2 linked regions of the Danio rerio genome follow. The protein of the gene in region 1 interacts with the protein of each later gene in a biochemical or structural test. Links are inferred from orthologs where the notes say so. Each region holds a gene or a part of one and is shown in the gene's direction. Other genes may lie near its edges. The genes, in order: cltcb and ocrl.

What was found.
Region 2: the proteins of cltcb (region 1) and ocrl form a complex in vitro, tested with the Homo sapiens proteins (2 studies listed by BioGRID and IntAct, with this or other methods). The link is inferred for Danio rerio from reciprocal best matches to the Homo sapiens genes CLTC and OCRL.

The regions. Positions count from the first base shown.
Region 1 is NC_133190.1:19,741,332-19,745,160, forward strand, and holds part of cltcb (clathrin heavy chain 1), read left to right. Parts: intron 1-474; coding exon 475-639; intron 640-1,170; coding exon 1,171-1,351; intron 1,352-2,086; coding exon 2,087-2,250; intron 2,251-2,347; coding exon 2,348-2,473; intron 2,474-2,566; coding exon 2,567-2,709; intron 2,710-3,829. UniProt on the Homo sapiens protein: Clathrin is the major protein of the polyhedral coat of coated pits and vesicles. Two different adapter protein complexes link the clathrin lattice either to the plasma membrane or to the trans-Golgi network.
Region 2 is NC_133189.1:38,410,270-38,414,098, reverse strand, and holds part of ocrl (inositol polyphosphate 5-phosphatase OCRL), read left to right. Parts: intron 1-1,226; coding exon 1,227-1,392; intron 1,393-1,855; coding exon 1,856-2,091; intron 2,092-3,829. UniProt on the Homo sapiens protein: Catalyzes the hydrolysis of the 5-position phosphate of phosphatidylinositol 4,5-bisphosphate (PtdIns(4,5)P2) and phosphatidylinositol-3,4,5-bisphosphate (PtdIns(3,4,5)P3), with the greatest catalytic activity towards PtdIns(4,5)P2.

The DNA.
Region 1 (3,829 bases):
TTTTGAGGACAGAATGAGGACAAAACAATGTTACTAGTTATTTTTCAAGATATTAATATTCAATGCAATTTAAATAGACTAATTAGGTTAACTAGACATGTTAGGGTAATTAGGCAAGTAATTAGGCAACAATTCTGTAGCCAATCAAGAAAATAAATTCTGAAGGGGATATTAATATTGTCTTTGAAACATAAAACAATCCATCCCAGCCAAACTAAAATAAATTAGAGAGAAAAACTGTAAATAATGTGAACGATTCACAAAAAAATATATTTTAAAGAATTAAAATAGGAGTGATAATTATATATCTAAATGTTTAGTTAAATATTTAAGTTATTTTTAATTACTTCAGTTTTGATTTCAGTGTTTGTTTATATTTAATAATTTTGTTTTTAATTATTTCAGTATATTTAAGTTTTGTACCGTACATAACATGCTAGTTTTTTTTTTTTTTTTTTTTTTTTTTTTTTTCAGGTGGCAGATGCCATCCTGGGCAATCAGATGTTCACTCACTATGATCGGGCTCATGTGGCACAGCTGTGTGAAAAGGCTGGTCTTCTTCAGAGGGCTCTGGAGCACTATACTGACCTTTATGACATCAAACGAGCGGTGGTCCACACACACCTGCTCAACCCAGAGGTAAAACACACAGTCTGATACAGCTACTGCACTCAGTGCTATTTTATTAGTCAGCTGTCCTCCAGTTGGCCAAAACTTTGTTGGGGGTTTGTGCTGTACTTCACCAATTGATGAGAAAAAACCTAGTAAGAAACCAGGCTTAGCTGGGCTTGACAAATTCTTCTCTGACTAAACGAACTTTAACTGCGTCGCACATGCAATCTAGTTGACGACAAACTGCCCTTTTTGTGGCACAAACCAATGAAATAAATGGGTTTTATAGTGCAGTGTGCGTTCAGTGTGAAAGCCATTTACCAGTTTACCAAAACTCTGAACGTTGAAGGCTGTCTGTGCTTTATTGGTGTTTCATCGATAAAATTCAGTATTTTGGGTTCAGGATTTTATTTTTGCAGCAACCTTGCAGTATTAGATATTTGTCATCTACAATAATATTTTAGTTGCTGTTTTTTTATTTGCAAGTTGACATTGTCACTTGTTTTGCAAAAAACATTTTGTGAAAGCTTTCACTGATGTGTTGTGCTCTGGTTGCAGTGGCTGGTGAATTTCTTTGGCTCTCTCTCGGTTGAAGACTCTATGGAGTGTTTGAGAGCCATGCTGTCTGCCAACATACGGCAGAACCTGCAGATCTGTGTCCAGGTGGCCTCCAAGTATCACGAGCAGCTCTCCACACAGTCCCTCACAGAGCTCTTCGAGTCCTTCAAGAGCTTTGAGGGTAACCATACTAAAATGTTTTGTATACCAGAACTGAAATTGAGACCGGGTTGTGTTGCCTGAAGGATCATGTCTCTTTTTTTAACTGTGTTTGTGGATCTCCATATTTGTGTATTTGCTCTGACTTGACCTTAAGGAAACTGTTATTTCCACCTAGGAAACCATAATTTCCACCAAATAGCCAAGTATATTTTAATGGTTAACACATGGAAATACTATACAAATAATATAATACATATTTTATAAATATAATCTGGTACCTAGTGCTTTATATATTTGGCTATTTCAAAATATCCTCATTATTTACTCACACTTTTACAACTTTTATGTATTTCTTTCTTTTGTTGAACACAAAACAAGGTTTTCTAAAGAATGTTGGAAAAAAGCTGGCATTGGTTTTCATAATAGGAGCATAAATCTATAAAAGTCAATGGCTGTTTTTCCAACATTCTTCAGAGTATCTTCCTTTGTGTTGAAGTGTAGAAAGAAGCTCAAAGAGGTTTGGAACAAAAAGTGAACATTTTCAGAAGGATTGCTACCCCTCTAAATGAGAGTTCTCATTGTATTTTTTAGTTTATTTAATATCTATTTAATATATATTTTAATTAAAGCGCATCATGTTTCTACAATATATTTTAATGTTGAGAGCAAAAGCGTTATAAATGTACTATTTGAATTGAACCCAATCATGAAAATGATTAAGATCTCGTGAACATTATATGATTGTTCTCTACAGGTCTGTTTTACTTCCTGGGCTCCATTGTGAACTTTAGCCAGGATCCAGAGGTTCACTTTAAATACATTCAGGCTGCCTGTAAGACTGGTCAAATCAAAGAGGTGGAGAGAATCTGCAGGGAGAGCAACTGTTATGATCCTGAGCGAGTGAAGAACTTCCTCAAGGTGTGATACCACAATAAGCTCCTGAATTTACTTTTTATCTTTTAACAAACCCTTAATGTTGCTTAATTATTTATTTTATCTTCCTCATATTTCACAGGAAGCAAAACTGACTGACCAGCTGCCCCTCATCATTGTGTGTGACCGCTTTGATTTTGTCCATGACCTTGTGCTCTACTTGTACCGCAACAACCTCCAGAAGTACATTGAGATTTATGTTCAGAAGGTACTTGAGGCGCGATTATGATAATGCTTGAGGAATCATCATCAACATTTCAGCTTAATGGGAGAGTGAATAATGATGGACTGTTTTTATCAGGTCAACCCCAGCCGTTTGCCTGTGGTGATTGGAGGGCTACTGGATGTGGATTGCTCTGAGGACGTCATTAAGAACCTCATTCTGGTGGTCAGAGGACAGTTCTCCACTGATGAGCTTGTGGCGGAGGTGGAGAAAAGAAACAGGTGCAACACTGCAGTGTTTTAAGAGTTTAACAATTTGCTGATCATATATAAACTGAAAATGCTTTTCCATTTCCATTTTCCATTTTTTCATTTTTAAAATATATTTTGTGACACATTTTTTAATTTAACCCAATAACATAAATTGTACAGATTTAAAATACCCTACACATTTAATTGAGATTACAATTTTATTGATAGTAAAAAAGTCAAGAGATGTTATTTTATCAGCATTGCAACGACAGTACAAGCAGCATGAAGTATGCTTTGTAGAAATGCCATGTACAGTTGAAGTTGAATTATTAGCCCCCCTGAATTATTAGAACCCCTGTTTATTTTTTCCCCAATTTCTGTACAACAGAGAGTAGATTTCTTCAACACATTTCTAAACATAGTTTTAATAACTCATCTCCAATAACTGATTTGTTTTTATCTTTGCCATAAGGACAGTAAAAAATATTTTACTAGATATTTTTCAAAACACTTTTATGCAGCTTACAGTGACTTTTAAAGGCTTAACTAGGCTAATTAGGTTTACTAGGCAGGTTTTGATAATTAGGCAGTTATTGTATAATGATGGTTTGTTCTGTAGACTATCGAAAAAAAAGTTAGCTTAAAGGGGGTAATAATTTTGTCCTTAAAATGTTGTTTAAAAAATTAATAACTGCTTTTATATTAGCCGAAAAAAAAAAAAGACTTTCTCCAGAAGAAAAAACATTATCAGACATACTGTAAAAATTTCCTTGCTATGTTAAATATAATATGGGAAATATTAAAATAGCAACAAAAATTCAAAGGGGGCTAATAATTCTGACTTTAAATGTATTTGCTTTTTTTCCTGTGAGCATGTGCGATTCATCATTAGATAAGAATACAGTTTCATGAATGGAATACACACAGTGTAAAATATTGATCTTTTTTTTTTCAATTCATATTTATTTCAATTCATCTTTATCTATAGTGCTTTTTTGATGTAGATTATGTAAAATATAGATGAAGTTCTGGTAAATTAAAATGGCTTCAGTTTAGTTGTCACAGTTGAAGTTCAGTGTGATGCAAAAGTCACTGTTGAAAGCACTGAAAACACTGAAGTGCAACTCTACCGGTGTGCAGCTCCACAAGT
Region 2 (3,829 bases), on another chromosome or scaffold:
AGAAAAAAGAAACCCATAAAGGTTTGAAAATCAAAAGATGAATAAATTAGGACAATTTGCGTTTTTGTGTTATTAATTATATCTTAAATCCACATTATTCACTTCCAAAAGAAGACTATGTACGGTGCAGTGAAGTTTTGGATACTAAAAATATTTATGTGAAATGGCGAAAAAAAGAGTTTTGATATGCTTTTAAACACAAAAGTAGACATTTTGAAGAATGCTGGAAACCTGTAACCATTATACTTCATTAGGAAAACCAAATGCTATGTAAATGAATCGTTACAGGTTTACAACATTTTTCAAAGTATCTTTTTTGTGTTCAACAGAAGAAAGAAACTCATAAAGGTTTGAAAATCAAAGGGTGAGTAAATGACAATTAAATTTTTGTGTAAATAATTACGTTTTAAATCCACATTATTCCGTTCTAAAAGAAGACCACAGGATTTAGCTGGAACCTGCAAAAATAAGATGCTGTGAAGTTTTGGATACTGAAAATATTTATGTGAAATGGTGAAAAGAGTTTTGATATACTGTTGAACACAAATGAAGACTTTTTAAAGAATACTGAAAACCTGTAACCATTGACTTCATCAGCAGGAAAAAAAAACAAATGCTATGTAAATGAATGGATACAGGTTTCCAACATTTTTCAAAAATCTTTTTTTGTATTCAACAGAAGAAAGAAACTCATAACGGTTTGAAAATAAAATGGTGAGTAAATGATGACAATTTAATCTTTGGGGTAATTAAATATGCATTTTTCTGTTCCAAAAGAAGACCACAGGAATTAACTGGAACCTGCAAAAATATTATGCATTTGGATAGTTTTGGATACTGAAAATATTTATCTGAAATGGCAAAAATAAGTTTTGATATTCTGTTGAACACAATAGAAGATATTTTGAAGAATGCTGAAAACCTGTAATCATTGACTTTATCGGTAGGAAAACCCAGTGCTATGTCAATGAATTGTTGCAGGTTTCCAACTTTTTTCATTTCAATATATTTTTCCGTGTCCAACAGAAGAAGAAAAAATAAAGGTTTGAAAATCAAAGGGTGAGTAAAGGGAGACAATTTTTATTTTTGGGTGATTTATCCCCTTAAGCGTTGATGCTGAAATATTACTGAGGTAATGTTGAATGTCCAGTAATAGAGCAATGGCAGATGATAGAGCATGAATTTCTAGCCTAATATTTATGTTCTGCCTGTTCTTTTATCACTAGTTCACCTTTGAGAATGTGAAGTTCCGTCAGCTGCAGCGTCAGAGTTTTCTTATCACTAATGATGGACAAGTTGCTTGCACCTTCGCCTTTATTCCCAAACTCAATGACTCCCAATACTGTAAGCCCTGGTTACGTGCTGAGCCCTGTGAAGGGGTACTAGATCCTAGTAAGTATCTCATATGGCATTTTAACTCTTTATCTGTGTTATGACATTTTATTTGATGATTTTGTTAAATCATTTTTATATTTTTCGGTTTGATTCTTTTTTTTTGGGGGGTTTTGTAATAAAAAAAAAAAAGACCTGATTGGACAATTTACCTAATTGTGCAATAAAAAGGCACAGAAGTGTTTCAGAAGTAAATTTTCTCAGAGGTGGCAAATGCATTTCTCCAATCTTAACTGAATACTGTTATAGTAAAGCTGAGATTAGTCAAAGCAGCAATAATGTAGTCTGGCAACTTTACACAGTATTTTGAGCAAGAAATTGATGGCATTTTTTCTTTAATGCTTTAAAAAATTGCATGCCGACTTCTTATATACAGTAGAGAGGACATATCTGATTTATTCATGTGAAGACTGAGACCGTCCCATCATCCAGATTGACTCAAATATTCATGTTATCTGTACAGATGAGAAAATCGAGATCTTCTTGGAGGTGTATGTCAGTAAAGACTCAGTGACGCTTTTAAACTCTGGTGAAGACAACATTGAGGACATCCTGGTGCTTCATCTGGACAGAGGGAAAGACTACTTCATCACTGTCTCTGGAAACTACCTGCCCAGTTGTTTCGGCACATCTCTGGAGACTCTGTGCCGCATGAAGAAACCTATCCGTGAGATCCCCATCACCAAACTCATCGACCTGGTGAGGCCCATTCCACTGCTGGAGTCGCTTAGATTAGTAGCAGCTAATACAAAAGTAAAAGTGGTTTTATCAAATTTTTGTCTGTGGATGGAAGTGACAGATAATGGTGAGGAATTTTTCCTTGAGATTTTGCAAAAGAGAAGACTTTCCAGTTTTGCTAGAGAGAGAATGTTATAATTATATACAACTTGTTCAGTAGCATTCATGCATTCATCATGCAAACCACTCTGTTCATTTCATTCTTCACTCTATTCTCAAATTATGATTAGTTTTTCATTTTTTGGGTGAACTATCTCTTTCAGGGGTGGACAGATATATACTGACTTCCATTTTTGTTCTGAAAGCACTTTTTTTTTTTAAAAATGGCTTTATTTTGGCAGCTGAACCTCTAGAGAAAGACTATACGTGTCTTCACAGATTTCGTGGAAGGGGGGATCAATTTCAGTCTTAATTATATTCTCAAATGATATTTCTTTTTTCATTTGGGTGAACTATCCTTTAAACAGTATCCATATAGAGACCTCCATTTGTGTTCTGAAAGCACTTTTAATAGAATGTTTGGTTTCTCTTTGCAAAGAGAAAGACTGAACGTGTCTTTACTGATTTCATGGAAGAGGAGATTTATTTAATTCTTCACTATATTCTCAAATTATAATTCATATTTCATTTTTTGCGTGAACTATCCCTTTAAGTGGTAGCCAGATATAGACTGACTTCCATTATTCTTCTGAAAGCACTTTTAATAGAATCTTTGGCTTCATTTTGGCAACTTTGGAAATGTGTTTTCACTGATTTCATGAAAGGGAATGAGTCTTCACTCTTCACAATATTCACAAATTATAATTAGTTTGTAATTTTTTGTGTGAACTATCCCTTTAAATGGTAGCCAGATATAGACCTCCATTTGTTTCTGAAAGCACTTTTAATAGAATCTTTGGTTTCATTTTGCCAAAAAGAAAGACTAAATGTGCCTTTACTTATTTCATGGAAGGGGGATCAATTTCACTCCTTACTATATTCTCAAATTTTTAATTTTTTGCGTGAACTATCCCTTTGAATGGAAGCCAGATATAGACTGATTTCCATTTTTCTTCTGAAAGCACTTTTAATAGAATCTTTGGCTTCCTTTTGGCAGCTTTGGCAACGTGTCTTTACTGATTTCATGGAAGGGGAGTTCAATTTCACTCTTCGTTATATTCTCAAATTATAATTCATTTTACATTTTTTTTGCATGAACTATCCCTTTAAATGGTAGCAATATCTAGACCTTCATTTGTGTTCTGAAAGCACTTTTAATAGAATCTTTGGTTTCATTTTGCCAAAGAGAAAGACTAAACGTGTCTTCACTGATTTTATGGAAGTGTGGGATAAATTTTACTCTTCACTATATTCTCAAATTATGATTAGTTTTTCATTTTTTGAGGGAACTCTTTTAAATGGTAGCCATATATTGACCTCCATTTTTGTTCTAAAGACTAAACGCATCTTCACTGAGGGGATATCAATTTCACTCTTCACTCTATTCTCAAACTATGATTAGTTTTTAATTTAGAAAGTAATCGGTCTTCTTTTTAGTTATTTTCTCTTTCTGTCTATTTACTGATCGCCATGGGAAGCCAAAAGCCGCTTATCTATGATTATGCAAAACTCTTTTCACTGATTACGCAATGTCTCTCTGTTGTCTCCTTTTTTCTCCTACCTTTACTTCTTTCTTGCTCTGACCACTCCTTTTCAACCA